Linked DNA regions of Ovis aries. The main gene of each other region encodes a partner of the protein of the gene in region 2 in a complex. Links are inferred from orthologs where the notes say so. Each region holds a gene or a part of one and is shown on either strand. Other genes may lie near its edges. The genes, in order: BICDL1 and BICD2.

Region 1 (14,950 bases), on a different chromosome or scaffold from region 2:
ACAAATATTTTTGAAAAGAGATTTGACTAGTAGACAAAACAGTTTTAACATGCTGATAAGTTCTGGGGAAACTTCAGATTCTTCCATCCTCTCAAATTAGAGAATCAACATTGGACTAGACGCAGAAATCTCATCTTCATGATGAGGATATGATGGTTACCCTTTATTGAGCACTCACTATATGCTAGACATCATAGTTAGAGTGTACATACATTACCTCATTCCGTCCTCATAACATCAGAAAATAGTAATAATACTACTGTTTCCATTATACAGAGGACAAAACTAAGATTTTAAAAAGTGGAAAAACTTTCCCATACTCACCAAGCTAGTAAATAGCATAGTTGGTATCTGGTCCCAGGGCTGTCTGGGCTCCAAAGCCTGTGACCTTGATTGCTACTTCAGAAATTTGAAACTGAGGCAAAGGAACCCTCATCAGTCTTAAACCGGAAGAGCCTTAAGTAAGCCACATATCTTTTGGTCCCTCCAGTTTTTCTCAGCTATAAAATTAGGACAATTCCCATCCCTTCCATCATCATAACGTGGCCAAAAGCTTATGAGATATATATCATAGCATTCTATTTTAGAGCTGAAAAGAATCTTGGTCATACAAACACCTGAATATGAATGTTTATGGCAGCCTTATTTATAAAAGCTAAAAAGTGGAAACAACCCAAATGTCCATTTATTAATGAATCAATAAACAAAATACGTTGTATCCATGCAATGGAATATTCTTCAACCATAAAAATGAGGTTTTGATACACACTACAGTGTGGGTGTACCTTGAAAACATTATACTAAGGGAAAGAAGTCAGCCACAGAAGGCCACATATGTATGATTCTATTTACATGAAATGTCTAGAATAGACAAACCCATCGAGATAAAAAGTAGATTAATGGTTTTCAGGTGTCAGGGTGTGGGATGGGGATCAGGAGGAGTGAGGAATAACTGCTAATGGGCACAGGCTTCCTTTGAGAGGTGTGAGATGTTCTATAATTAGATAGTGGTGATGGTGAAATTGTACTGTTAAAAAGCACATATTATGGTATATGAATCCTATCTCAACAAACAAACATTAAGAAAAACCATGGAGGCCATGGCAGCGAAGGAAATACATTTTAAAATACTTTGGAAGAATCAATCAGCTATACTTCAACAAAAACAATACTCTGGACAAAGCATCACGGAAATATCAACACATTTTAGATACCATACATTTCATGCTAATAAAAACACATTATTCACTCTGTAAGAAAAGCATGGCCTACTACTACTTTTGCCGGTTGTTAACTTGTTCTAAAAGAATCTTAATTCACTTCAAACTACTCCACTCCTCTAGTTCCTGAATACTCAGTTAATAAAATGATAATAAAATGCAATCTAAACTGGCTGCTGATGGAAACCCAAGGGGCTTGGCCTGCTTAAAGAGAGAAAAGAAAAAAGCCACAAAACTCACCAAGGGCCTACATTCAAGGCCAGAGAAGACAACAAGAATCTAGATCTAGTGGAAATGCTATCCTCCCATATTCTTCTGGGAACCACGTATCAGAATTGTCTATGGAAAAATTAGGCAGAGGAGTCTCAACTATAAAAATACTACCTTAGTAAAATAACCATCAGCACCAAAACAAATTCTTGAACTTCATATTCTGCTTAACCTAAACATATTATCTCATTTCGATTTCAACAGCACTTGCATTAGACACAACTTTTTACCCCCATTTCAAAGATAAGGAGAGGAAGTAATAAACAAGGTCACCCAGTAAAGAAGCAGAGTCAAGATTCAACACGCATCCGAATTCTAACTTGCTTTCTCCCACCACCTATCTTTCACCGGATCAAAAAGCAGAGTTGAGGCGGCTTCTGCTCATGTCACTTTGTAACATGAACTCAGCTCCCAATAAATAATTTCCTCTTAAATTGTTCTGGTTTGTTGTATTCCTTTCATAAGTCTCCATAAGAAACATTAATTCAGAATAAGTATTAAATGTTTTTGAACAAATAAATCAATCTGGCCAGGTTGACCTGGTCAATCTTTAATGAAAGGACTTCCCTGGTTGTCCAGGGGTCCTGGCCAATGCCGGGAACACTGGTTCAATTCCTGGTTCAAGAACCAAGATCACACATGCTGCAGAGCAACCAAGTCTTCACGCCGTAACAACTACAGTCTGCACGCCCTAAGCCACCACGGTGAGAAGCCCGACCACTGCAAGTGGAGAGTAGCCCCTGCTCGCCACAACTAGGGAAAGCCCATGCGGCAGCGAAGACCCAGCACAGGCACAAATCAATGATTTGAAAAATTTTCTCATGAATGATGGATGAAGTCTCAAAAACCTATAAAATCTTAAAAGGACAGAGATTCCCTTCCCAGTTGCTGAAAAAGGTTTTAGAACTGACTCTGAAAGGCTCCTGAGCTGGCCCTATAATGACTTCCTGAAGAACTGTCAAGCCCTTCCTTTCCAGACAATCAAATGGCAGTCTGATTCCCCAGCGAGAAGCTTGCAGGCAGCTCCACCACCACCTGAACTCTCACCTTCCCATACATTCTGAGAGCTCCTGTGACTCGCTCTTTCCCAAGCTTTTGCCATCTCTCCGCTTCGGTCTCTCCCCTGCCCTCTCTAGCCCCTGGCGCCCTTGGTTCCATCCTCTCCTCCTGTTGCCTCTCCTCCTTCCTCTCCCTTTCTCTAGTGGTAGCATTTACTTTGTACTTCCTGGTGAGGCACGAGGTTTAGACCAGTCTCAGGGTCCCCATGCACCTGGAGGAGGGCATGGCAACCTTACAGTATTCTTGCCTGGAGAATCCCCATGAACAGAGGAGCCTGGTGGGATACAGCCCATGGGGTTTCGAAGAGTTGGACACGACTGAGCGACTAAGCACAGCACAAGGTCCCCATGAGAAGCAACTAAGATACAACCTAGTGAAATAACTTCACATGCTGCTCTAGCTGAGCCTTTCCCAGAGGCCTAAGCACCAAACACTAAGCATGCGGACAAGGGCAGTGCTCTCCTAAGAGCATCTGTGCTTAGGGATGCGATCAGAGTAGAAGTTCTTTTTTCCTCTAAAACAAGTAACTGAACTCGTTTTATTTTCAATACATAAGAAGGCACGAGGTATAAAAGTAAATCCAGCTCTTAATTTTCAAAAGTAAGTCTTTAGAGACCAGGGCATTAACAACATTCCTGTATTTGTTAAAAGGTGTGCTCGTATTTAAGTTAGATTTCCACCTACTCAGCTCTCATACTCCTTCTTTGCATTGATTTTACAATCTTGACTTTGATTAATTAATACTTCTATGACACCACACTATAAAGGTACAAATAAAGAACTTCTACTTAATGTAGAAATAAAGAGAACACGTTTTATATATACAGCTACACATACCTCCTTTCATATTTAAATAATAAGAAATGTACATTCACAGTGAAAATCATTTGCTCTAGAAATTTTCCCTAAGCTTTTCAGTTTAAAGATGGCACCATTTGGACCTTCCTGGTGGCCCAGTGGTTAAGAATCCACCTGCCAATTCAGAGTACACGGGTTCCATCCCTGGTCCAGAAGATCACACACGCCATGGAGCAACTAAGCCCAAATGTCATGGCTACTGAGCCCATGGGTCGCAACTACTGAAGCCTGGGCACCTAGAGCCTGTGCTCCACAAGAGAAACCTGCACACTGCAGCTAGAGGGTAGCCCCTGCTCGCTGAGACTGGAGAAAGTCCAAGCACAGCAACCGAGACCCAGGGAAGCCAAACATAGATCAATTAATTAATTTTAAAAGAAAGAAAAGAAAAATGGCAAATTTATTATTTTTTAAAGATGGCACCATTTAATATCCGAACTAAATGCATTAATATAATTTTACCAGTGGCAGACTTTCTCTAGGTAAAAGAATCACAGACTTGTAGAGCTATAAGGAACATCAAATCATTAATGAGATAGACTCCCAAGTTAAATGATTGCCAAAAGCTCACAGTTGGCCTGTGACAAGCAAGGGTCTTTGCTCCTGGCGTCTAGTTCACCCCAGTTGAAATTCTCAGAGGTGAAAAACACTTGACTTACCGGTATCAATACCAAAGGCAACAAAAAGGAGAACTACTCTTACCATATATATGATGACATTAAACAGAAGCTCTGTTTCAACTTTTAGTATTTTATACCACAAATTCTTTTTTTCTAATACCATAAGTTTTTAACTCGTGACTCACCCTGCTGAGTTGGTCCAATAACCTTTGGTTCTGTTCTGATAACTCCTGGACGGCCCGTGTTTTCTCTCGATCTGCTTCCCGTAGATGAACCTGCTGCCTCTCCAGCTCATCCTGAAGCTGCTTCACATCACTTTCCAGCTCAGACACACGCCCTTCCCACTCGCCTTCTCGGTTCTCAAATCGTCTTCTTAGTTCGTGCTTCTCTTGTTCTAAGTGCTGGGTGAAAATGAAGAGGATTTTTAAACTGCTAAAAAATTCCAGAGTCGTTAATTTTTTTTCTCTTTTCACACTCTTCTAACTTTTCTTTTTCCTAGTCAGTCAGCACAACAAAACACTCTGCCACGTAGGACAAGTTGCCCATTTCACAGCTGCAAAAATATCCCTTTCAGCCAGAGTAGGGAAGGCTAACTTCACAAAGAGAACGCCATTCCTACTGAAATACTTAATGTTATTATGTTTATTCCTGTCCTTGGGCATCGGGGTTCTAGATTTAGGAACTCACCTGAAATTTAGTAAGTCATCTATTAATCAGTGAAATATACATTTAAGCAACTTAAAACAAGCCCTTGAGAAAGTTTCTTTTGCTGTCATCTGTTATGCTTGGCATAATACCAGGCACTTAGAATTTTCAGAGACAGAAAGGACTTCAGAGATCCTCCAGATCAACCACTTCTTAAAATGAAGCCACAGAAGAGATTCTGCAACCAGCTTAAGGTCTGTTCTAGCAAATGCTCCCGTTTGGGAGCTGGGATTGGGGTCTCTCTCACTTGACTGTTTAATGCTCAAAATCACAACTCAATAAATATTTGCTGCTCTATATAGCACTGCATTTTGAAATCATTAAGCAAGTTCAGGCCTACTTTTATTAAATCATGGCCTACAATCCTTGCAAATTTATTTCTGATTCATTCATTCCTGAGTGCCTGTTATAGGTTAGTCACTGAAATAATGTTGAGCAAAAGAGACTTGGTCTTTCCATTTATGGGGTTTCCACTCTAGTGAGAGGTTGATGAAAGTATTATGTTGTACAGTGTGACAAATGGTATACAGGAAAAGTACAGATGGTTTGAAGGAGCAACAACAGAGAAGAACTCTTTTTGGGTTGAAGGAAATAAGAACATCTTTTTGTTTCTCTAAGATAAATACGAATGCCTCTTTTCAGAGGCAAGTATGTTCTCCTACTTAAAAAGCATGGTATGAGGACTTCACTGGTGGTCCAGTGGTTAAGAATCCACCTTGCAATACAGGCTGATGTGGGTTCGATCCCTAGTCCAGGAACTAAGATCCCACAGGCCTCAGAATGGAACGACTAAGCCTCCATGACACACTGACTGACCTGTCCCACAACTAGAGAGCCCATGTGCCACAACTAGGGAGTCCATGCAGCACAACACAACAAAAGATCCCACCTGCAGCAGCTAAGGCCCAAGGCAGCCAAATAAATAGATTTTTTAAAAAATAAACAATAAAAAAAGCATAGCAAGCACCAAAAAACCAAGTAAATACCTCAGAGTAAATGAGATGCATATGAGAAGTAAAGCAATGGTCCTCAACTTTTGCTGTCAGAAAATCTCTGGTATAATTGTTCAAAATATATCTTAAACACTAATTCCAGACTATGATTCAGTAAAGAATGGGATGAGGCCTAGGAAGGCATCTGTCTATCTACCCATTCATCTATTTAGGTTCTATTGGAAATTCTGATGCACTAAAGGCTGACTATCAAGCACTGAGATTGTTTCAACAAGCTAAGATGAGCAATTGCATCTTCTCCTTCAGCGTACTCAGATTCACCTTGTGAATCTACACTCTTATTCTATCCAAGTTCTCACCTTTCAAATATTTTTTAGGATACCTCTTTTGGAAAGCCTTAAGGGGCAGTGTATAGTTATACAAGAAAATCAGTCTCATTATTCCACATCTGAGATGTGCCTAAAAAAAGATTTTTCTCTCAAGAGAGGGACTTACACTTCTCAGCATGAAAATCTTCTGTTCTATGCTTCCTTCATTTTGCTAAACTTCCAAAAATGAGGATGTTTTAGTCACTACACAAACTTCAGAAAGATGAGATGCAGAAGTAAGTGGTAATTACAATTCTAAAATTGTGATACTTGGTTTTATTGAGTTTTTCCAAAATGGAAAAGACTGAGCAGAAGGCAACAGCAAGAACTCAGTAATCACAGTATTACTGAGAGGCCAGATAAATTAGGCTTGTGTTCTAAAAGAACAGAGAGACTTAAAAATACTCCACAAACAGCTGTTAGTGAACAGCCCAACTAAGCGACTAAAACAATCTAATCCACATGCAGGAAGTGAGGCAGGGTTGAGGACAAGTGGCGCTGATCAATCTATTCTGTCCTTACATTTCTTCCTTCCAGGTTTCCCAACACTCTGGGAAAAAAAATCAAGACTTTCCTATTAATGAACATACAGAACTTAGCCTTCTGTCTATTCTGAGAAAAGAAAGGTTTCTCCTAGAATTACATTTTCAATGAAGTGCTAAATTAACCAATAAACTCTAGGAAGAATATCAGAAAGTGTAGCAGTCAGGCTCTGTCCATGCTATTCCCTGCTTCTTGGGGTTACACTGTACTTCAAAAGGTAATATCTACACCTGAAACTAATATAATGCTGTATGTCAATTATACCTCAATAAGAAATTGAAAAAAGTTAATGTCAAAACTGTCAAGGTCATCAAAAACAAGAGAAGTCTAAGAAACTGATACAGGAAAAAAGAGACTAAGAAGATACAGAAACTAAATGTAAGGGTATCATGAAACAGAACAAGACATTTGGCAAAGGCTAAAGAAATCTACATGCTAAGTCATGTCTGACTCTTTGCGTTGCCATGGACTATAAAGTCCATGGAATTCTCTAGGCCAGAATACTTTCCCTTCTCCAGGGGATCTTCCCAACCCAGGGATCGAACCCAAGTCTCCCGCATTGAAGGCAGATTCTTTACCAGCTGAGCCGCAAGAGAAGCCGAAAGAAATCTAATTAAACTAAATGAAAAAGTTAAAGCGTTAGTTGCTCAGTCGTGTTGGACTCTTTGCAAGCCCAGGGATTGTAGCCTGCCAGGCTCCTGTGTCCATGGAATTCTCCAGGCAAGAATACTGGGCTGGGTAGCCATTCCCTTCTCCAGGGGATCTTCCTGACCCAGGGATGGAACCCGGGTTTCCTGTACTGCAGGCAGAGTCCTCACCATCTGAGCCACCAAGAAAGCCTCATAGCTAATAATAATGTATTAGTATTGATTTACTAATTATGGCAAGTACTGGGGGCAGGGCATATGGAAACTCTGTCCCATCTTTTCAATTTTTCTGTAAATCTAAAACCATTCTAAAAACAGTTTATTTAAAACTCTAAGAAGTTAGTATCACTAGCTCACCTAAAATTGGTTGTTACAGAAATGGACTTCTGCCATGAACCAAAACAGCATATTATTCTCCTAAGTCCAGCATATGGTTCTTGAAAAATACAAAGAAAAAAAAATACTATTTAAGTGGATCAAGCACTGAATGCAAATAAGGACTCCTGCATTTGCTTACCTAAATCTACTACCCAATTATGTAATCATTTTCACCTTACTTTTTTTTAACAAAAAAGTTTAACAAGAACATTTATTCTCTTTTTTTGGCCATATTGAACAGTATGCGGAACTTCCCCAACCAAGTATCAAACCCGGACCCCTGCACTGGCAGATTCTTAATCACTGGGCCACCAGGGAAGTCCCATCATTTTTTTTTTTTTTTTTGCCTCTTAAAAAAAAATAGTGCTAGAATCATTAGAATTGGACTAGGAAGAGGGAAGAAAATGTAACCTAGGGAAGAGACTCCCTCTGCATTAAGAGAGAATTCACTCTTACCTGGAATGGGGGAAAAAGAGAATCCTGGGCTTTAAAAACATATTTTTAAAAAACTAAATAAAGATTAAATCTCTGAAGAAAAAAGTATATAAATGTAAGTTAGTGCCTTAGATCATAGCATACATAACATAAAATTTATCACCTTATCCATTTTTAAGTGTACCGTTAGTTCAGTAGCCCTGAGTCCATTCATACCGTTGTGCAACCAACTTCCAGAAATTAAAAATAAACCTTTAACACTTGAGTTCATATGCTGACCTGAGAGGAGTGAAGATTTTTTAAAATAGTTTAATAAGAGTTTTAAACTATTTTAATATCATCTATCAAGTCAATAGCAAAAAGTCAAATGTAATTTATTCTTCTACAGTATAACCTTTCTTGTTACAGAATTTGAAAATCTTTTTCCTTTGGTGAAGACATGTATAAAGATTCCAAGTGGAACCCAGGATGTGTTTAACTACATATTTAGGATTACCCTTGAAAACTATCACTCATCAAACCAACTGATATGATGTTCAAGACAGCTGTCTCTTTAATCAAGTCTCTCACTGAAGGGATTTCAAATCACAAGCATACATCTCTGCAGTAGTACTTCTATTTAGAGTCTGTAATCTAATCTCTTTTTCAAAAAAAAGACACCCTTTTAGTCTGAGACGTCTACTTCAAGTGAAAATCAAACAATTCAATTCATTGGGTTGCTTTTTGGCAATCTACAAACAGGTTTCACAAACCACTTTTCAGAGAGGTATCTCAGGAGTTCACCGACTGGCAGACCTAGTTAACAGGCCAACTGAACTACAGGGCACTCACTGGTTTCCTTTTTTTTCCCTCTCTTATTTATTTTTGATATGTTGTTGGACTACAGACATACTTACTAGAGAAAAATTTCTGAATCTACACTCTGACCATTTGCCCAGTAGCAGTGATATGGAACCAGGCAATGGTCAATTTCAAACCGTATTCAGGGCTGTACTATTCTCTTGTAACAAGAATAAAAAGAACTCATTGCCACCAAACTGGGAGACAATATTAAATGCATAGACAGAAAAAGATAAGCTCATCGCCACTGCCACAGATGCACCTCCCCATCTTCACTTAAGAAAAAAAGACTCTCTCTAAAAACTTTTTTAGAAGTGGTGGCCACTTGTATTAGTTTCAAGGCCCTTTTCTAGTTAAGGGCAAGAAAACAGAAGCAAAAGACTTTGGTCCAGAGAATTGGCAGAATCTTACAGATATTTTAAGGGGTATTTATAACAATGGTTAAAGTTATATGGTTCTCACAAGTTGCATTTGGCCATCCAAATGCGTGTGTGAGACCCAGAACAGAAACAAAAGTACTGTTTAAATACATATACTGTTTAAATACATATATATACTGAAGTCCACATCAAATCACAACCGTCACATGTTGAGCCCAGGCTCACCTGATTTCTGCAGTGGAACCATATTTCCTAATCCGTATCTGAAGGCTATATAAAGCTCCTTTAGGGGCACTTGTTTCCCACCATTCTGAGCTGAGGGGAAGTTAAGACAAGGGCATGTGGAAGCCCTTAACTCCAAAGCTAAAAAGCTTTAGGCTAACACCCTGATTAGCGATTAACTACCTCTCTGAAAACCTGGAGCATATTTTAAATGCTTTCCGGCTCTGTAATTTCTGTGTGCAGGCATCACCTCAGTGCTGTATAAATTAGTCATACTGTAAGCTCTATTTTAGATGCTGTGTACAGTACATATATAGAACGGCCCACAGCGTTTGGGGCCGTGCATGGGCCCATTTGCTGTGAGCAGGGTAAGAAAGCCAGGTGTGTTCAAAGAATGCCCTCGTCTGATAACCCCAAACCCTCCATGCTACCCACCTCCCAGGTGGCTTTCTGTTAAGACAAAATAAGCAAGGAATGGGGTGAGGTGGGTGACTGCCTGGCTCCCGAAGCTACCCAGGGTCGGCGGGAGGGTACCTGGGCTCCCCCCTCTCCCGCTTCCCACCTATCCCAGGAGGGACGTCCTCACCTCCAGCTTATCAGTCAGTTCCTTGTGCATCTGTTCGTACTGCCGGCTCATGTCCTGATTCCTCTCGAGCAATGCCTTGCCCAATCGGGCCGCCAAGACCAGATCCTTCTCCTTCTGCCGGATCACTGACAGCAGCTCGGGATCCTGGGCGGGCGGCGGCTGCAGTCCGGCCGCCTCGGCTGGAGGCCCGGGCTCGGCCTGAGGATGCTCCCCGGGCTCGGACGGCCGTTCCCCAGCCGCCAGCAGCGCCAGCTCCTCCTCTAACGCCAGTTCCAACTCCCCGCGGCCCCCGGGGAAGGAGACGAGGGCAGCGGCGGTGGCGGTGGCTGGATTCCCGACTGCGTCCGCGGCCGCGGCGGGCAGCTCCATGCAGCAGGCGCTGTCCGGCTCGGAGGGTGCTGAAGCGCGGCCGGCCAAGCCCAGGCAGAAGGCGGACATGGCCCGCGCGCGCCGAGCCCGCAGCGGTGCGGCCCGGCCGGCGCGCGCCAGGCTGCAGGGGGGAGGGGCCCCGCCGCGCCGCCCCGCGCCTCGCCTCACGCCGCGGCACGCGCCCCTCGGGTCTCCGCGAGCCCTGGGCGCGGCGCGCGCCGGCCCGCCCCTCCCCCGCGCCGGCGGCACGCGCCCCCTCCCCCCGCCCCCGGGCTCAGCTGCTCGGCGAGCGTCGGGGAGGAGGAGGAGGGGGGGTGGCAAAGGGAAGGCTGAGGAAGGGAAGACTGCGGGGACGCGAAGCGGGAGGGGAAGTTGCGGGGAGGAAAGCCGCCCTCGCCGCCGCCGCCGCCGCCGCCGCCGGGTTTTCAGCCACCCTGTTGCTGCTGCTCCCGCTGCCGCCGCCGGCCGGGCAGCGCCTCACCGGGCGGGCTGCGCTCCGCTGTCGCTGCGACGCTCGCTGCTGCTGCCGGCGGCCGCTCTCTGCAGCCGCGCTCCATGTCCCTCGGCTCGGCGGCAGCCCCAGCAGCAGCAGCGGCGGCGACGGCGGCTGCTGCAGGCGCCGAGGCGGCGGCTCCACATCGCGCACCGCGCGGCCCGGCGACCTCCTTCCTGCCTGCCTCAGCTCTCTCCAGTTCCACCGGGCCGGCCGCGCCGCGCCCCGCCCCGGGCTTCCGGCCGCGCCCCCTCTCCCCGCCCCTTGCCGGCGCCTGACGCGCACGGGCACCTGTTCGCCGCGCCCGCGCGCGATTCGCCGGTTCGTGGGTCTCCTCAGCGGCGCCCAGGTGGCGCCGGCAGCCTTAACCCCTGCGCTGCCTCACGCCCGGGGGCGGCTGCGTGCGCAGCCAGCGGAGACGGCCGGCTCATCCGTAACGGTCCGGGCGGCTCCTCGGCGCGGCCACGCCCCCGGCCTCGCGTCCACCTCGCGGTGTGGCTCCGCCCCCGGCACGCTCACCTCGGGGTGTGGCCTCGCGCGCACCTCCGAGAACGGCCCCGCCCCCAGCCTCGTTCTCACCTCAAGGCCTGGCCCCGCCCTCGACCTCTCTCGGAACTCTGGACTGGCGAGCTTCTCTGGGTGCGATGGGTCTCAGTCTTAGGTGGTTGGTCTCCAAAGGGGACTGAGGACGTTTCTCCAAGACGGGTGGCCAAGCCCGACGGAGACTTGCTGCCACGGACTGTGGGTCTGAGCCCCCGCGAGAGCTAAGCAGTCAGGAGAGGGAGCCCTAGAAAGCAATAGAAGGGACGACTTCAGAAATCCAGCGTCTCAATGATGATGACTCAGGGATATAAGAAACTAGAAGCCTCGGAGATCAGCAGCTCCGAAAGAAAGGGGTGCTGTTGAGAAATAACGGGGAAAAAATGCTCACAAATGGGAATGCGAAGCAAAGACCCTCCTTAATAACTTCTGTTTATTAGGCACTTAGTGTGTGCCATGCCTCGTGCTCTATAGGCATTATCTTAGATAATCCTCACAAGAATCTTAAAAGTCAGTACTGTCACTCTTATCATTTTACAGAGAAGGAAACTGAGGCCCTGAGATACAGAATCAGATCTAGGCAGACTGGTATATAAATATACCATTATTTACTTTCCTCACATACAAGTCTTGAGGAAGATAAGTAGTAATTTGTGACCAAGATAGCCTGGGTCAGTATCCACGGTTCTATCAGGAAAGCTTCCTGCAATGATCAAATCAAGGACTAAAGAGCCTAATGGGTGATTCCAGTCAGTTCTTGCTTTGACCTCATCGGTGATGCTCTGTCTCCTGTTTTCAGGAACAACCCCATCTGAGGCTAGAATTTGTCCTTGTTCTTTCCCTTTTCTTATGGACAACAATCCATTTTTGAGTTAGATCACTGTTTGATCCTTTTCATCACAGTGAGATGGAAATTTTCAGGACACCAATTGGCTAAAATGAGTCAAATGGTTTCTCATGGCTTTTTCTCTTATTAAAGTCAAAGCCTAAAAAAAAAAAGTCAAAGCCTAAACAAAACTCCGGTACATACATCACTTTTTACCTTCCAACTGAAGGTGTGAAACCTGAAGGTCCTGAGCCTTGGGGATGACTCTGTTCTCTAGTTGATTGAAAAGGAGACAGACAATAGAGGGCTTCACACATCTTAGAACCAAGTTTTGAAAGTTGACGGTGGTATCATTCCAACAATACATTGTTCTAGCAGTTGAGCAGAAATAGTGGGTCCATGGTGAGACCCACCTGCAAATCCCTTTTGTCTTTTTTGATCAGGAAAGAAGTTGCTCCTGAAAATAGATTAGGGACACACATATCAAGAGCAAACAAAATCCTAATCAAAAGGGGTTTCAGGTATTTATTTTTCCTTGAAGCAGACTTGCAGCCTATCTCTCCCCAGAGGTTTTTGTCTTGCCTTCCTTAAGCTCGATGGTCCTACTCTATTAGACTTGCCTGTTACTGTGAGAATGAACTTTCACAATGCTAACTCTCATTTCTGAAGAACATTCCTCACAATGTTCCCCTGCCTAATCTGACTAGGAAGCAATCATTTTCTACTACAACTTTGGCCCTAAAGTACCATCTTCCTGTGAATAGTCAAAGGAGACCAGCCCAAGTTTGGAGAACTATTTAGAATAGTGGTTCTTACCCTTTTCACTCTCAGAACCTCTTTACACTCTTAAAAATCATTGAAGATCTCAAAAATGTTTAGTTTATATTGGTTTAGATAGTGGTATTTACTGTATTAAAATTAAAACTGAAAATTTTTAATTCTTATTTTAAATACTTATAATAAACCTATTAAATGTTAACATAATATAGTTAATAAAAGATATATATTCCCAAGTTTATTTTTTTAAGCTTCTTATTTTGTATTGGGGTATAGCCAATTAATAAACAATGTTGTGATAGTTTCAGGTGAACAGTAAAGGGACTTAGCCATACATATATGTGCATCTATTCTCCCCCAAACTTCCCTCCCATTAAGGCAATTCCCAAATTTAAAAAGTGAGCAAAGAGGAATGGCATTATTTTTCATTTTTATAAAATCTCTTTAATGTTTGACTTAACAGTAGAAAATGGATTTTTATATCTGCCTCTCCATTCAATGTAGTGATGTTTGTTTTGGTTGAAATACATGAAGAATTGCTCTTGGTTACTAAGCCTTGCATTTTTATCATTTTTATATTCCTTAATAATATATTTGCATCACTGTTGCTTTTGGTGTCTGGACATTCTGGTGAACTTAGGTAAAACCCATCTTAACCTGCCATGGATGGATTTCCACATTAAAGGGCTGCCACATCCCTAAGAGCAAAGCATGAAATATTCTTTCTTAGGAATCCTGATATCTCCAAATGTGATAACACTCATCAAGTTTCCTCAAGTTATTTATTTTTATTAGCCTCCTGATCTGCAAAAACTGGAAAGTGTGGAAGACAAAACATTCCAGAAAATTTGTTTTTGAAGTCAAGTGTGGAAGAAATATGAGGAGCTGGCAAAACATGTGATAAAGCAGTTCTACACTTGGTATTTTCATTCAGCAATTATAAGTGCATATGCATTTTTTTAAGTTTTATATTTTATTTATGAACTAGTAGTGGGAACATAAAATTCTCAAAAATTCCTAAAATGTTACCCAAAAGCTTTTTATATTTTTTGGAGACGAATTGACTCAACGTTTTGCAAAATGTGGTATGTGTACCTCTAGGGATTTTCAACTTGATTTTTAAGGGAAAAACATTTAGTGGCTGATGCTCAGTAGCATCAGTCTTTAGCAGGTGCCATGCCCTGCCTGGTGTAGGAGTGGGCTTTCTCGGCTACCTGTCACTGTGCCCCAGCTCACCTTGCTGGGACCTCCTACCCAGCCTCTCTCATTTCTAGGTCCTTATCTTGGCAGACCCCTCACATGTTTCCCTTCACCCTCCTAGGGTCCTCTCCGGGGCTTCAACCCCACCTCACACTCCCTTTCCTCCTTTTCCCTCAGCTTGTTATTTAAAAGATTTCATAAATGTACAACACTTAAAATGGTGCCTGGCACATGGTAGGCACAGTGTGGGTGCTTGATAAATAAATAAATGCATAAAATAACTGAGCATAGGGAATTTCCTGGCAGTCCAGTGGTTAGGACTCCATGCTTCCACTGCAGGGAGCGTTGGTTCGGACCCCTGTTTGGGGAACTAAGATCCTGCATGTTGTGTGGTGAGGCCAAACAAAAGTCTGTGTGCTTTTATATATATATTTACTTACATGGCTGTGCCAAGTCTTAGTTGTGGCATGAGGGATCTTTTAGTAGTGGCATGTGGGATCCAGTCTCCAGACAAGGGATCGAACCCTGGTTCCCTACTCTGGGAATGAGGAGTCTTAGCTACTGGACTACCAGATAATCCCTGTATGCTTTTTATTATCACTATGAGATGGTAATTCTAGACAATGTCAATGGCAATACACTCTCACCTCACCCCCCCTTGGCA
Region 2 (15,667 bases):
GATTTTATAATGCAGTACAACAATTCTGTAAAGCAACTATGAACTGAACAGGGAAATCCAAATGCCAACCAGATAAAAGACAACATTAAGGAATCACTGTTAATCCTGCGAGGTGTAAAACTTAATCTGTGATTATGGGTTTGTTTTTTTTTTAAAGTTACCTTCTCAGCACAACACATCAATGAACTTACAGAAGAAGTGAGGCACAGAATAGAGGCTGCCGAAGCTGGAGGAGCCAAAGTGGGTAGGAGAACATGCAGGCCAATGTCTCTGCTCTGGTTGTGCATAAAACATCCCCTAAAGATGGAAACCCTTTAGGAGGGGAACTGCTTTCAAAAAGCAAACCCATAGAACTCAAACCACAACCATTATTTCACATGATACAATAGACTAGACGTGCACCGCAGCTTCCAAACCCATGAAAATCTTCATTATCTTCATCCAGTTGAATGAAACCTACTTTTCTGCAACTCAGAGAGTAACCCCAAACCCTGTGTCTCCTTAAAAACAACTGTTATAGATGCTCAAAGCACTTTCTGGTTTTTATAATACCATATGTATCTGACACACACATAAAGGAAGAAAAAGCTGGCAAGCAGAAATACCCAGTAGTCCTCCATACATATTCCGTAATTTCTACAGAGACATGCTCATTTCTTTTTGATCTTGATGAAAGTGAAAGAGGATGTATCATGTGAAACTGATGCTTTCGAGTGAAAAAGCTGACTTAAAACTCAACATTCAAAAAACTAAGACCATGGCATCTAGTCCCATCACTTCATGGCAAATAGACGGGGAGAAAATCAGAACAGTGACAGACTTTATTTTCTTGGGCTCCAAAATCACTGCAGACAGTGACTGCAGCCATGAAATTAGAAGACCCTTGCTCCTTAGAAGAAAAGCTATGACCAACCTAGACAGCATATTAAAAAGCAGAGACATCACTTTGCCAACAAAGGTCCATCTAGTCAAAGCTATGGTTTTTCCAGTAGTCATGTACGGATGTGAGAGTTGGACCATAAAGACGGCTGAGCATTGAAGAACTGATGCTTTCAAATTATGGTGCTGGAGAAGACTCTTTAGAGTCCCATAGACAACAAGGAGATCAAACCAGTCAATCTTAAAGGAAATCAACCCTGAATATTCATTGGAAGGAGGAATGCTAAAGGTGAAGCTCCATTTTGGCCACCTAATGGGAAGAGCCAACTCACTAGAAAAGACCTTGATGCTGGGAAAAATTGAAGGCAGGAGAAGGGGGCAACAGAGGATGAGATGATTGGATGGCATCACCAACTTAATAGACATGAGTTTGAGCAAACTCCAGAAGATAGCAAAGGACAGGGAAGACTGGCGTGCTAGAGTCCATGGTGTCGCAAAGAGTCAGTCACAACTGAAGGACTGAACAACAGCAAAAGTAAATGAATAACTTTCTGAGTGAACTCCAGGAGTTGGTGATGGACAGGGAGGCCTGGCATGCTGCGATTCATGGGGTCACAAAGAGTCGGACATGACTGAGTGACTGAACTGAACTGACTCTCTAAAGAAGAAAGCCGTCTTCTCCTCCTTAATGCCATCAACCACCTGACGCTGGACTGTCCATTCAGCCACAAGTCCCTGCACTCACCCTGCTCCTACAGCCCCATCTGTCAGCCCACCTCCCTGGGCAGAACAGAGCCAGAACCAAAAGGTTTGATGCCCAGGACAGCAGCTAGAAGGTCACACTGGGCACTTCTGGCTCTAGGGAATAGCTCAAGGGGCCACACTCCAAACATTAGACAATATGGGGCCTGAGGCCCAGGAGGGTCTCATCTAGCCTCTGCCCACTAGCCACTTTCACTTCACTAAGAAACCAAATCTTTCTTTACCTTCAATGTGTGTACCGGCCCTTTATCCAGTGCACAAATGTGGAGAAGCGGGTCTGACTGAGGAGTGGCTGCCCCAGGCTGACAAGGGTAAATTGAGCTCCCACTTCACAGGAAGGGGTTGGGCTCCCTCAGCAGGGAAGGCCCAGCGGGAGTCTTTGTCTGCCTTGCCACAGCCCTCTCTGAGGCAGCTGCTCAAACACAAGGAGCCTCAGCCACTACCTGCCTAAGTGCCCCAGGCACACTGGCCTGAGGGCAGAGCCATTCCTCTGGGGCCACATAGCTCCTGAGGGCCCAGGCAGGGTCCAGTCGGCCCCTTGGAGCCAGAGTGTGCAAACCACAGCCCTTGACAGCACATGTAGCACCTCCTCGCCTGCCCAGCCAGAGCCACTCTCAGGCCTGGCCTCCCACCTGCACCAGTTATGGAAAAGCAGCTCCTTCTAAGTGTGTCCATCCACCTGTCCAGAGTCACGCCCCCAAAACACTGTGGTACACAGCTGCTCACCCACCATGGCCTGAAGGAAAACAGAATGCCAGGTGACATGAGAGTCTCTGGAGTTTTCAAAAGTGGAAGAGCCCTCAAGATTGCTTCACAATGCCACACCAGATACAAGCTCTACAGGCAGGAAAGTGGGGAGTGCCCAGCAACGTGGACACAATGGGCTACATGGTCACTGCCTTTGGATGCTGGAAGCTGCCTCTCCCAACTATCAGATCCCTGGGAGCAGGGCCGCCTCAGCACCTGCAGGGCTTCCTGGAACTTAACCTCTATCCCAAGTCAGGCTTCTTCACGCTAACAGCAGACTACCACACAGCTGGCCCTGAGAGGCCCAAAGGACTCCCAGAGCCTCCCAATCCCCAATGGCTCTCTGCTCCAAGTTTGAGGGTGGATTCAGGTAAGTGGGATCCTCATAGGGTTTGGCCCAAATCAGGACTTTTCCTGTCCCAAGACAAACACTTGAGGAGGCTGAGCCTTGCACAGAGGATTCCCATTACCTTCCCTCCTCCGCAGGTATCCGCTCTCTTGGGGACAGGTTGCCTGGGCTCACAGTCTTGAGTCAAAGTCAACTTCTTGGTGCCTTAGTTTCCACAGCAGTACAACAGACATAACAGGGTAGTGACCCCAAAAGTCAGAATGAGGACTGCAGGAGTTGGTGGGGCACAGGGAGGCTAGAGCCACTCACCAATAGTGGTGAAGCCTGGGCAACAGCCCTCACATCACCCTCCTCTGGAGCCAGCTCATCGCTGGAACTTCTACAGACTTGGACAGGAACCTGGTGCCCAAGGACCACTTCCAACTTGGTCTGAGCTACTGGACCTTCCTCAGACACTCACACCCATCCCTACCTTGGTTTCCCCATCCTCTGAGAGAGGAAATTATGATACAAGAGAGATGGGAAGGAGGAAGCAAAGAGAACAGAGCAGCTGCTCTCATCAGCTTTGCCACAGTTCTTCATGCGGCTGCTGAGCCTACAGGATGAGAGGGATACCCAGGTGGGCTCACCTGAGAGCTAGGCTCAGACAAGTCCAGAGGAGGCTCTGAAAAGCATCCAGGCCTTGAAGGGCAGGCAGGACTTCCAAGATCCAAGACTGGGAAGAGGCAGGGATGGTGAGGGCCATGAAGGCAATCAGGAAGCAGGGGAGCAGTGCAGGCTGAGCCAGGCCAGAGGCTCAGGCTGCACTCTAGGAGACGCAGTGGGGCCACTCCAGACCGCGCAAGGAGTAGAGATAAGGCGATGACAGGGACAGCAGGAAGGGTATCCAGGCTTGGGTGAGCTAGAGGGAAGGAAGAAACTGAAGATACCAGCCAGCACACACTTACTGTGTGTGCTTACTGAGTAAGCACTTACTGTGTGCCAGGCACCAGTCCCAGCCTGTGACAGGTTGCAGCTCACAAAATTCCACCCCTGGGTTCCCTGGGATGTAAGTATACTGCACAGCCAAGATCCTTAGGTAGCACAGAAGCCAGCAAGGACGTCCAGACCTTGTCTTCCTGCTCTCTGGAAGCCGAACGAGGATGGGGCTGCGTCTGCACTAGGACCCCCACCACTGGCCCTCACATTCCAAAGAGCTACCCACTCCCGGTACCTAACTGAGCCCTACAGGCAGCAACTGTCAGCCCAGCACCCCTGCCCTCCTCAAACTGCAGCTGAGAACACAGAGCAAGATGTTCCATGGCCACTAAGGACAAGAAACACCACATGGCTGACCAAACTTTATCTGATTCTCTTCCTTACCATGGTGGGGAAGGGACACAGCAGAACTTGGGACAGACAGGGCCCTTACTAAGCCAGGCTCAATCACTAGCAAAATGGGCCATTAGTACCCCTCCTCCCTAATACCATGGTGTCAGCAGGACATAGACACACACACACTTACCAAATGAGAAAGGCTGCAGGGCCAGCACCACTGCCCTGCACAGGACACTCTTCAGGTCTGGTTGCAAACCAAGTCACCTGCGATAGGCCAGTCAGCTTTCCTCCCTTAAGACAATATTATCTACAAATGCTAAACAGGAATACAGGTACCTCTGTGGCACAACTTATTAATAACTGAACTCACTTTAGTTAAAGAAATAAAGCTTTAAAAAGAATGAAGATGGCTCATCTCTCTACAGGAGAAAAAATTTTAAAAAAGATCCAATAGATATTGTCTCCTTGAATCTTGATTTTTTTTTCCAATTATTTTTATTTATTTAGCTGCACTAGCTCTTTTTGAAGCAGCATTTGGGATCTAGTTCCCTGATCAGGGATCAAACCTATGCCCCCTGCATTGAGGGAGAGGAATCTTAGCCACTGGACCACCAAGGAAGTCCCTAAATCTTTATTTTTTAAAATAAGCGTTAATGCTTTGAAGTATAACAATACAAAGGTTTAGAGAGGCTGACTGACTTTGAGTAAACTGATGTGAGAGCTTTCTGGCAATACCTACTGAGGCTCTGATGCACCTTCCTCTAGCTTCTGCTGAGACTTCCATCTGAACAGATAGAGGGGAGGGGCTGGGGAAGGCCAGGCTCCCTTCTGAAGTGTAGAGAAGGTGAACCTAAGATGCTCCCACTTCATTTTCTCAAGGCCCCTAAGCCTCCCTCCATCATTCCCCTGCCCCATATAGTAAGATGAGGCTTTTGCCAGAGGGATCACATATCACCCCTCTAGTAGATTTAGTGCCAGATAAGGCTGGCTTGGAGGAGGTATCAATACCTGCTGACATATACAAGACCTCAAGTTGAAGGAGCTACACAACCATCCTCCTCGGGCACCCTTATCTGTCTTCTAAAGGCACTAACAGGGAACTTGTTCCACCAAGCACAGATTTAAGTACCTTCATGCATAAACTCCCTTCACTATCAGAAGGGGACCTGACTGGTCTCCCGAGTGAGGCATGGAGGCTCAAAACACTCTAGGGACCTGCCTGAGGCCACACGGAGAGGGCTGCTGGGAGGTGGGCAGCTGGAGAAGCACCAAATGTGGTGGATCCTAAGACCAAGGGCCAAGAGCCCACCTGGACAAGGGAAGAATCAAGTAGGGAAGGAGAAGACAGGCTGACAGACACTGACAGGCTAAATATCTGACACCTTCTCTAGCCTTTTAAAATATATCCCAGATGAACCCTTTCTGGGTGAGATGGTGCGGTGGGAGAAGGTTCATGCTCAGAGCCCCATCACCAGTAAGGGGAAAGACCTGGGTCCAAACCTGAGCGTCAACTTCTCCCTCCCCACCTCTACAACAAGGCTGGGGAGTCAAGAAGGACTGAGATAGGAAATGGTGTTTAAAATCATCTAAGAGAACTACTTCAGGGAAGGACTGCCCAGTTTTACCACTGCAAGATTTCTTGGTAGCCAAGTGGTCCAACCTGTTCATCCCAGAGTAAAAACAGCACAGGAGAGATAAGGCTTCACCTGTGACAAAAAATCCACAGACGTGTCCCTCAACTTTGGGAAAGGGCCTGGATGGGCAACTAAGACAGGAAGTGGACAGAACACTGTATCCATGAGAAGTAACCATCAGGGTGGTCAGAGAGCCGAGCATGGGGAGGCCTGTGGGATACCCTGGCCAGCTGTGATGGCCACATGCAAGCCAAGCCCCCAACTTGACCCTTTCCTGGTGTCCCGGCGCTCACAAAAGACGCTGAAACCGCTGAAGGCAGCTGCGCCCAGAGACAGGAGATGCTGTACATAGAAATGATGGAGACACATGCCTGGTGTTTCCCAGCCGGCCACCTGCATGCATCCCACGTCCCCATCCCCCCTACCCGAAAAGTCAAACACCGCAGAGGACACCATCCCCACCGCGCCCGAGACCTGCCATCAAGAGCAGAAAGGCTGACCACCAGGCTCCACCGCAGCCCTTGACGCGGAGGCCAGGGTTTCTAGAACCCAAATCGCCCACAGCACCCAAGGCCCGGCATCCACCGCAGGGCCGCCTCCGGGACGGCCAAGCAATACTGACTCCGGGTGCCCCGGTGCAGGTCTGGTCGGCGCGGGGTTAGCAGTCGGCTGGTGGTCGACCTAACTCGGGGTAAGGGGTCAGTTTGGCCTGGGTCGGCGGCTGCCTCGGGGGTCGCCTTCTTGGCTCGGGTCAAGGGCCGATTCTGAGGTCGGCGCGGAGGTCAGTTCGATGGGATGAGGGATCCGGGTCCGGAGTCGGAAACGGCCGGGGGGCGCGGAGGGCGTGGCGCCAGCCGCCCTTTCTCCTTACCTCCTTGAGCTGCTCCATCTCGCCGCGGATGGCCTCGTAGTCCACCTCGAGTTCTTCGAACTGCAGTTTGAGTTGGTGCTTCTCCTCGAGGACTGCCAGCCCGTACTCGGCCGCCTGGATCTTCTCACGCGTGGTCTCGGCCAGCTCGTGCGACAGCCGCTTCACCTCCGCTCGCAGCCACTCCGGCTGCGCCTCCATCACGAGCCGCGCGTACTCTTCTTCCTCGGACGGCGCGGACATGGTGGCCATGGCCCGAGTCGCACCACTCGCTCCGTCGGAGGCTCAGACCAGACTCCTGTCCGCCGCCGCCGCCGCCGCCCCGCCCGACGGCAACCCGGCCGCAGCCGCCGCCACCGCCGCCGCCGCCGTCGCCGCCGCGCAGCCGCAGTGAGCCCGCGGTCGCGCGGGGCACTCTGGGGGCCATAGTCCCGCCCGCGGCAACTACAAGGCCGGTCGTGCCCCGCGCCCGTCTTCCCCCGCCCGTGATTGGCCCGGGCCCCGTTCCGGGCGGCCCCTTCCAATCCCGTAGCCTTCGCAGCCGCCGCGCGGAGCATTGTGGGGGTAGTGGTCCAGTCGCCGCACCGACTACAAGGCCCGTAGTTCCCCACGCCCTCCCGCCCCCTCCGGTGATTGGCCGGCGCGTCCGCCGTCGCGGAGCCGGAAACTGGTGTTTTCCACTGCCAGCCCCCGGGCGTGGGAGGCGGGGGTCGGTGCTTAGGTGGGTCGCTGGGGAGGGTACACACTGCGCTGGGCAGGGGATGGGTGGAGCGGCCCACCGGTATATACCAGAGGTGGAGCGCCCGGAGCGTCGGGAGAACCGCGGGACGGGTGGCGGTGAGGATTGTAACCTGCTGGTTCGGGCCTTATCCAGTGGGAGAAGTAGTCAAACCACTAGCAGAAGAGGCGCCTTGCATCCAGCTAAATACGAAATGCCGCGTGCGTGTTTCCTAAGAATTAGGCATCTCCATTCGCTCTACAGTGTTCCAATTCAGGACCGTCGACACAGACGCGGCCTCGACTCCAGCATAGCGTCGCTGTGCTTGTAGCACGGTTCCAGCCCAGGACCTGGTCCTGGGTCACTCAAACGGCAGTCGGCTGTCTTTACTCTGCTCTTTGTCTTCATGACCTTGACCTTTCTGAGGCGTGCAAGCCAGAGATTTACACACGGATGCATCCCCCAGGGTTAGAGTAGGTTATGCACTTTGGCTGGAATATCATGAGATGGTGCTAAATTTTCAAAGAATTCTGTCAGGAAGCTCGCAAACCCATCGCCCAGATGCTGCTGGTCACTCCTTTGTAATCACTATCCTCTGAGAAGACAATTTACACTTTACAGATAGTCCGTCACTCCTCAAGCTTTTTTAATATTTTGTTGCGGTGGATTTGATTTATAATGTTTCAGGTGTACAAAATAGTGATTAACAATTTTTAAAAATTATACTCCATTTTAGTTATACAATATTGGCTATATTCCTTGTGCTCTACAATATATTGTAGCTTTATTTTATACATAGTGGTTTATATCTCTTGATCCCTTACCCCTATCCTGCCCCTCCCCATTTCCTTTTCCGCACTAGTAACCGCTGCTGCTGCTGCCAAGTCACATCAGTCGTATCCGACTCTGTGCGACCCCACAGACGGCAGCCCACCAGACTCCTCTGTCCCTGGGATTCTCCAGGCAAGAACCACTAGTTTGTTCTCTTTATCTGTTAGTGTTTTCTTTGTTGTTGTTATATTCACTAGTTTGTTTTGTTTTTTAGTTTCTACAGAAAAGTTATACAGTATTTGTCTTTGTGTCATTTCACTTAGCATAATATCTTATAGGTCTATCCATGTTGTTGCAGGTGGCAAAATTTATTTTTTTTTAATGACAATACTGTTTCATACCACATAGTCTTCATCCATTTATCTGTTGTTAGATATTTACGCTGTTTCCATATCTTGGCTACTGTAAATAACGCTGCTCTGAACATTGGGTGGAGAAGGAAATGGCAACCCACTCCAGTACTCTTGCCTAGAGAATTCCGTGGAGAGAGGAGCCTGGTCAGCTGCTGTCCATGGGGTTGCACAGAGTCAGACACGACTGAAGCGACTTAACATGTATGCATGCATGCATTGTAGAAGGAAATGGCAACCCACTCCAGTATCCTTCCCTGGAGAATCCCAGGGACAGAGGAGCCTAGTGGGCTGCCGTCTATGGGGTCGCACAGAGTTGGACACGACTGAAGCAACTTAGCGGCGGCGGCGTGAACATTGGGGTGAATTGTATCTTTTTGAGTTAGTGTTTTCACTTTCTTTGGATATAAAACCAGGAGTGGAATTAATGGATCATATACTAGTTCGTTTTATTTTTTGGCTTTTTGAAGAACCTCCATACTGTTTTTCCACAGGGGCTGCACCAATTTACACTCCCACCAACAATTTACAAGAGTTCCCTTTTCTCTATATACTGACCAACATTTGTTGTTTGTAGTCTTGATGATAGCGACTCTTTGCAACCCTATGGCCTGTAGCCTGCCAGGCTTCTCTGTCCATGGGATTCTCCAGGCAAGAATACTGGAGTGGGTTGCCTCCCGGGGATCTTCCTAACCCAGGGATCTAAATCCACATTTTTTATCTCTCCTATATTGGAAGGTGGGTTCTTTACTAGTAGTGCCACCTGGGAAGCCCATTCTTACAGGTGTGAGATGATAGCTTATTAAGGTTTTGATTTGCATTTCTCTAATAATTAACAGTGTTGAGCATCTTTTCATGTGCCTATTAGCCATCCACATGTCTTTCTTGAAAAAATATCTGTTCAGGTTTCCAGCCCATTTTTTAATCGTATTGTTTGGTTTTTTGATATTGACTTATATGAGCTCCTCAAACTTTTAGCTGACTAGTTATCATTGATATTTCTTGCCTAAAGAAATTAGAGTATTAACCAAACTATTCTATTTCCCTCATTCCTGTTCGACTTACTAACTTTGTACTTTAGAGAAGATATTTCATTCATTAATGGTATGAATCTGTGGATTCTCATTTTACTTAATGAGTTATAATCCATTATCCTCCATATTCACTTAGATGCTCAGATGTGGCAGATCTGGCTAGTGGAAGCTGCTCAGTTGAGTCTGTATCCTTTCAACATGTCATGATTTTTGAGAATTTTCTTTGATTATAGCAAAGTTGTTTCAGGATCATCTTATACTCTGTGTCCCAGACCTGGAATCAGCCATTTCTCTAAGGAGCCCTTATTCCTTTTAGTGGTTTAGTGTTTTATTTGTCTGAGGAGAATATGTCATATTTTACTCACGAAATTAAAAAATTACTTTTATGGCATTCAACCACAGTAGCAGTATGATGCCCAAACAGCCAGTCTGTCCTGGTCTTAGGAGTCCCAAGTCCTGAAAAGCCCTAAGGCCTGTGCTCACCAGTCAGTCTAAGTGGGAGAGATGATTGGGAAGAGAAGTGAGGAGGAACAAGCCTTGTTTGAGTGAGATTAACATAAGATGAAAGACTGATACCCTGGTGGCTCAGAGGTTACTCGGGTTCAATCCCTGGGTGGGGAAGATCCCCTGGAGAAGGAAATGGCAACCCACTCCAGTACTCTTGCCTGGAGAATCTCATGGAGGGAGGAGCCTGGTAGGCTACAGTCCAAGGGGTCACAAAGAGTTGGACACGACTGAGTGACTTCACTTTCACTTCACTTTGACCCAAGCTGTCCAAACTCCAAACCCCTACCCAACTCCACACCTTCATATGAGGCTGGCCTGAGGGAGGGAGAGAATAAAAGGTGGGAATCTGGTGCAGGCATTGACAACAAAGCTTAGGATGGCAGTAGACGGGGACAGGCAAAGACTCTTACAGCTATTGGGGACAGAGTGCCTGTCCCTGGAAGAGTCATGATATGTAACAATATCGGGGCGGGGGGGGGGGTAGGCATCAGAAGAAGATTCCCTGCAGAGGTGACACCCAGGTGGAGACCCAGAAAGTACACAGGAAGTGGCCTGTCAGGCTGGTGGAATAGGGGATTGGCAAAGATAAGAGGTGGGGCCACTGCTTGTTGGGCTCCAACTGGGTCTCCAGCATTGCCAGATACTTTATCTCCATTATCTCTTTGAATGCTCCCAACACCCCAGGGTGTGGGATTTTGCTCCCCTAGTAGCTCAGATGGTAAAGCGTCTGTCTGCAATGCAGGAGACCCGGGTTCGATCCCTCGGTTGGGAAGATCCCCTGGAGAAGGAAATGACAGCCCACTCCAGTATTCTTGCCTGGAAAATCCCATGGATCGTGGAGCCTGGTAGGCTACCGTCCATGAGGTCACAAAGACTAGGACATGACTGAGCTACTTCACTTACAAATGAGAAAGCTCAGGGTAAAAGCCTCAGTGTCACCTTTGACAATTTGTCAATCTCTAAGCAAATGACAGACCCAGAACTTGCCTTGCCCTCCTACCTTCCTGACAGTTCCCTCTCTGAGCACTAGCATGAATCTCTTGATGAGCTTCTCTGCTTTCTTTAATCTAGCCTCAGGTGATCTCCTCTGGAATCCTAACATCTTCTACTTGTTGGAAGTTTTAGTTCTTCAAAGAACTCAAATATATTGTCATGTGTATCTGCCTTGAGGTAGAACCAGGAACCTGCTCAAGGCAAAACTGTTGTTTCTTGGCTGCTCCTCTCTCATCTCTATATCTCATCCTTTCCCTGGTTAGCAGATGTTCAAACCTGAAGGAAGGTCTATTCCCTACAAGAAGTGGAGGATTCAAAATGTTCTGTGCCCAGGAGCCCCATGGGGTCAGCAAATCGTGGAACTCAGATTGGGACTTGAACCCATAGTTTTTTAATTGAGATCACACACAAGACTTAATGAAGTTCAGGTTCCTGACATCTTATCACAGAAAAAATTCAGTGAGAGACAAAGTGATAAGAAGTGATTTTATTTAGAGAGAAATACACTCCAGAGACAGAGTGTGGGCCATCTCAGAAGGCAAGAGTGGCACCAGGGTATGGGGGTTATCAGTTTTTGTAGGGTGGGTAAATTCATAAGCTCATAAGTGGGAAGAGTGTTCCAGCTATTTTGGGGAAAGGGTGGGTATTTCCAGGTTGTGGGCCTTGACACTTATTTTTAACTTTCTGGTCAGCCTTGGAACTGTCATGGTGCCTTTGTGTGTGTTCTTTAGCTTGCTAATGTATAAACAGTTGAGAGATGGAGTCAGTTCAGTTGCTGAATCATGTCCAACTCTGCGACCCCATGGACTGCAGGATGCCAGGCCTCCCTGTCCATCACCAACTCCGGGAGTTCACTCAAACTCATGTCCATCGAGTCGGTGATGCCATCCAACCATCTCATCCTCTGTCATCCCCTTCTCCTCCTGCCTTCAATCTTTCCCAGCATCAGGGTCTTTTCAAACAAGTCAGTTCTTCGCATCACGTGGCCAAAGTATTGGAGTTTCAGCTTTAATATCAGTCCTTCCAATGAATATTCAGGACTGATTTCCTTTAGGATGGACTGGTTGGATCTCCTTGCTGTCCAAGGGACTCTCAAGAGTCTCCTCCAACACCACAGTTCAAAAGCATCAATTCTTCGGTGCTCAGTTTTCTTTAGAGTCCAACTCTCACATCCATACGTGACCATCCATACAAGACCATAGCCTTGACGAGACGGACCTTTGTTGACAAGGTAATGTCTCTGCTTTTTAATGTGCTGTCTAGGTTGGTCATAACTTTTCTCCCAAGGAGTAAGCGTCTTTTAATTCCATGGCTGCAATCACCATCTGCAGTGATTTTGGAGAGAAGGAGTATTTCCTGCCGTATCTGTAAAGAAAGATGTCCAGCCCTCCAAATGTGGACTTCTGAGCCCTGAGGGCACTCAGGAAGGAGAACAATACTTGTGACCTGGCAGCCATTAGACTGCAGTACTCCCTACAGTAAGCACTGAGGAACTTAGACTGAAAAAATGGCTTAGATGCGCACGAAAGGAAAGGTTTCAGTGACCCTAGACTCTTGCATCTTCCCACACATAGAAAAGTGCTACATTTCTCAACTTGAGATATCTGGTTTTCTTTAATTCACAAAAATACTTTCCACGTTCAGACTACCTGTCCTTTGTTGCAAACTTCTAAATAACCTGACTCCCCCTCTCCTCAACCCCACCCCACCCCTACCTCCTTAGAGCAGTTCTCTCAGGGTTACTTGAGATGCTGTCTCCCAGGCCTGAAGTCCTAAAAATTCCCACCAAACAAAACATGTCTCAGCTTTTAGGTTGTGATTATTTTTTAAGTGGACACAATGAGTATATAATGAGCCTCAAGGTCTAGTGGAATTCAACTTGTCCACCATCTTGGATCTTTTGGTTCTAATCAGTTTATGTTGTACGCTCAGGCTATAGCATTCTTTTATTTTTAAAAAATATTTATTTGGCTACATTGGGTCTTCGTGTTGTGGCATACAGGATTTTCATCACAGCATGCAGACTCTTCGTTGTGGTTTGTGGGCATCTCTAGTTATGGCACATAGGTTTCTCTAGTTGAGGCATGTGGCCTTCGTTGCCCCATGACATATGGGACCTTAGTTCCCTGACCACGGATCAAGCCCATGTCCCCTGCATTGGAAGGCAGATTCTTAACCACTGGACAAACAGGGAGGTCCCTGTGTCATTCTTTTAAAGGCCGTACCCTGCTCTCTTCTCTATTGGTTCAGGTACTGCCTTGTTTCAAAAGTATTTGGTGATTTTCTTTTTAGATATCTTTCTAATATTTATTTCTAATGTAATTCTGTTGTAGTCTGAGAATATACTTTGTATTATGTAAATTATTTTAAATTTAAATTGTTTTATAGCCCAGATATGGTCTGTCTTGGTAATCATTCCATGTGCACTTGAAAAAAATACATATTCTGCTCTTCTTGGGTGGAGTATTTTCTCAATAGCAATTAGGTCATTGATAATATTGTTCAAGTCTTGTTCAAGTCTTCTCTGTCTTTCCTGATTTTTCTGCCTACTCATCCTTTCAGTTGTTCAGAGGAGTGTTGGAATCTCTTGTGATTTGTCTATTTCTCCTTGCAGATTTCAATCTGGTATAATTTATTCCTGAAGAACTTTAAAAAAATATGTCCTATACTACAAATCTACTGAAGGTGAATTCTTCACTATGTCTAAGAAAGTGTTTTGCCTTAGTTTTCTAAAGATTTTCTGACTAGATTTCTGTATATGTAGGTTTACAGCCCCACACTTAGACCCCAGTCCTTTTAAAATGTTATTGCACTACTTACATTGCTGGCTTACATTGCTCCTGAAGAGAAGTTCATTATCATTCTTATCATTGTTGTTGTGACATAACATGCCTCTTGAGAAACCTGTATGCAGGTCAGGAAGCAACAGTTAGAACTAGACACAAAACAACAGACTGGTTCCAAATAGGAAAAGGAGTACATCAAGGCTGTATATTGTCACCCTGATTATTTAACTTCTATGCAGAGTACATCATGAGAAACGCTGGGCTGAAAGAAGCACAAGCTGGAATCAAGATTGCCGGGAGAAATATCAATGACCTCAGATATGCAGATGACACCACCCTTATGGCAGAAAGTAAAAAGGAACTAAAAAGCCTCTTGATGAAAGTGCAAGAGGAGAGTGAAAAAGTTGGCTTAAAGCTCACCATTTAGAAAATGAAGATCATGGCATCTGGTCCCATCACTTCATGGGAAATAGATGGAGAAACAGTAGAAACGGTGTCAGACTTTATTTTGGGGGGCTCCAAAATCACTGCAGATGGTGATTGCAGCCATGAAATTAAAAGACGCTTACGCCTTGGAAGAAAAGTTATGACCAACCTAGACAGCATAATGAAAAGCAGAGGCATTACTTTGCCAGCAAAGGTCCATCTAGTCAAGGCTATGGTTTTTCCAGTAGTCATGTATGGCTGTGAGAGTTGGACTATGAAGAAGGCTGAGCGAAAATAATTGATACTTTTGAACTGTGCTGTTGGAGGCAACTCTTGAGAGTCCCTTGGACTGCAAGGAGATCCAACCAGTCCATTCTAAAGGAGATCAGTCTTGGGTGTTCTTTGGAGGGACTGATGCTAAAGCTGAAATTCCAGTACTTTGGCCACCTCATGTGCAGAGTTGACTCATTAGAAAAGACTCTGATGCTGGGAGGGATTGGGGACAGGAGGAGAAGGAGACAATAGAGGATGAGATGGCTGGATGGCATCACTGACTCAATGGACGTGAGTTTCAGTGAACTCCGGGAGTTGGTGATGGACAGGGAGGCCTGGCGTGCTGCAATTCCTGGGGTCACAAAGAGTCGACAGGACTGAGCAACTGAACTGAGCTAAACTGAACATGCTTTTTTGTTCTGGCTACTTTTAAGATTACTCTTTATCATAGATTGAGGCAATCCAATTATAACATGCCTTGGAGCTTTTTTTCCCTTCTCTCTCTCTCTCTGTCTTTGTGCTTGGGGCTGATTTGGTTTCTTGGGCTTGCATGTTTAGAGCTGAGTTTGAGGCTGGGTATGCATATAGGATGTTTAGCAGTATTCCTGGCTTCTACCCACTAGATTCCAGTATAACTCTACTCTTGTGACAAGCAAAATGACTCCAGACATTGCCATATTTCCTCAAGGGCAGAATCATCCCCAGCTTAGATTTTTTTTATTAGGATCTGGGGAATTGGGGGATGTTATTTTTTCAATAACGTTCCCCTTCTCTCTTTCTCCCACAGGGATTCCCATTACATCTGTTTTAGTCTAACTGAATTTGTCCCACAGCTCACTGGTGATTCATTAGTTTTTTCAATCTTTGTTCTTTGTGTTTCACTTTGGATAGTTTCTGTTGCTGTTTCTTCAAGTTGACCCATCTTTTCTTCTTCATTGTCTAATCTGCTATTATTCTTATCCAGTATTTTTAATTTCAGAAATTGTATTTGCATTTCAGTAGCTTGATTTTGGTGTTTTTCATATTCTCCTTATCCTTAATAACCTGTGCAATCTTTCTTGAACAGTGAACATGAAATACAGCTGTGATAATTATTCCAATTTCCTTATCTGATAATCCTAATGACTGTATTATTTCTGAGTTTATTTGTATTAGTTGATTTTTTTCTTCTCATTATGGGTCAGATTTTGCTA

Evidence for each region.
Region 1: BICD2 (region 2) and BICDL1 share a complex: the UniProt entries of both Homo sapiens proteins name them as parts of the tripartite complex. The link is inferred for Ovis aries from reciprocal best matches to the Homo sapiens genes BICD2 and BICDL1.

Annotation. Positions count from the first base shown.
Region 1 is NC_056070.1:62,528,081-62,543,030, reverse strand, and holds the start of BICDL1 (BICD family-like cargo adapter 1), read right to left. Parts: upstream 10,576-14,950; 5' UTR 10,520-10,575; coding exon 10,082-10,519; intron 4,426-10,081; coding exon 4,210-4,425; intron 1-4,209. UniProt on the Homo sapiens protein: Acts as an adapter protein linking the dynein motor complex to various cargos and converts dynein from a non-processive to a highly processive motor in the presence of dynactin.
Region 2 is NC_056055.1:28,583,064-28,598,730, reverse strand, and holds the start of BICD2 (protein bicaudal D homolog 2), read right to left. Parts: upstream 6,955-15,667; 5' UTR 6,809-6,954; coding exon 6,560-6,808; intron 1-6,559. UniProt on the Homo sapiens protein: Acts as an adapter protein linking the dynein motor complex to various cargos and converts dynein from a non-processive to a highly processive motor in the presence of dynactin.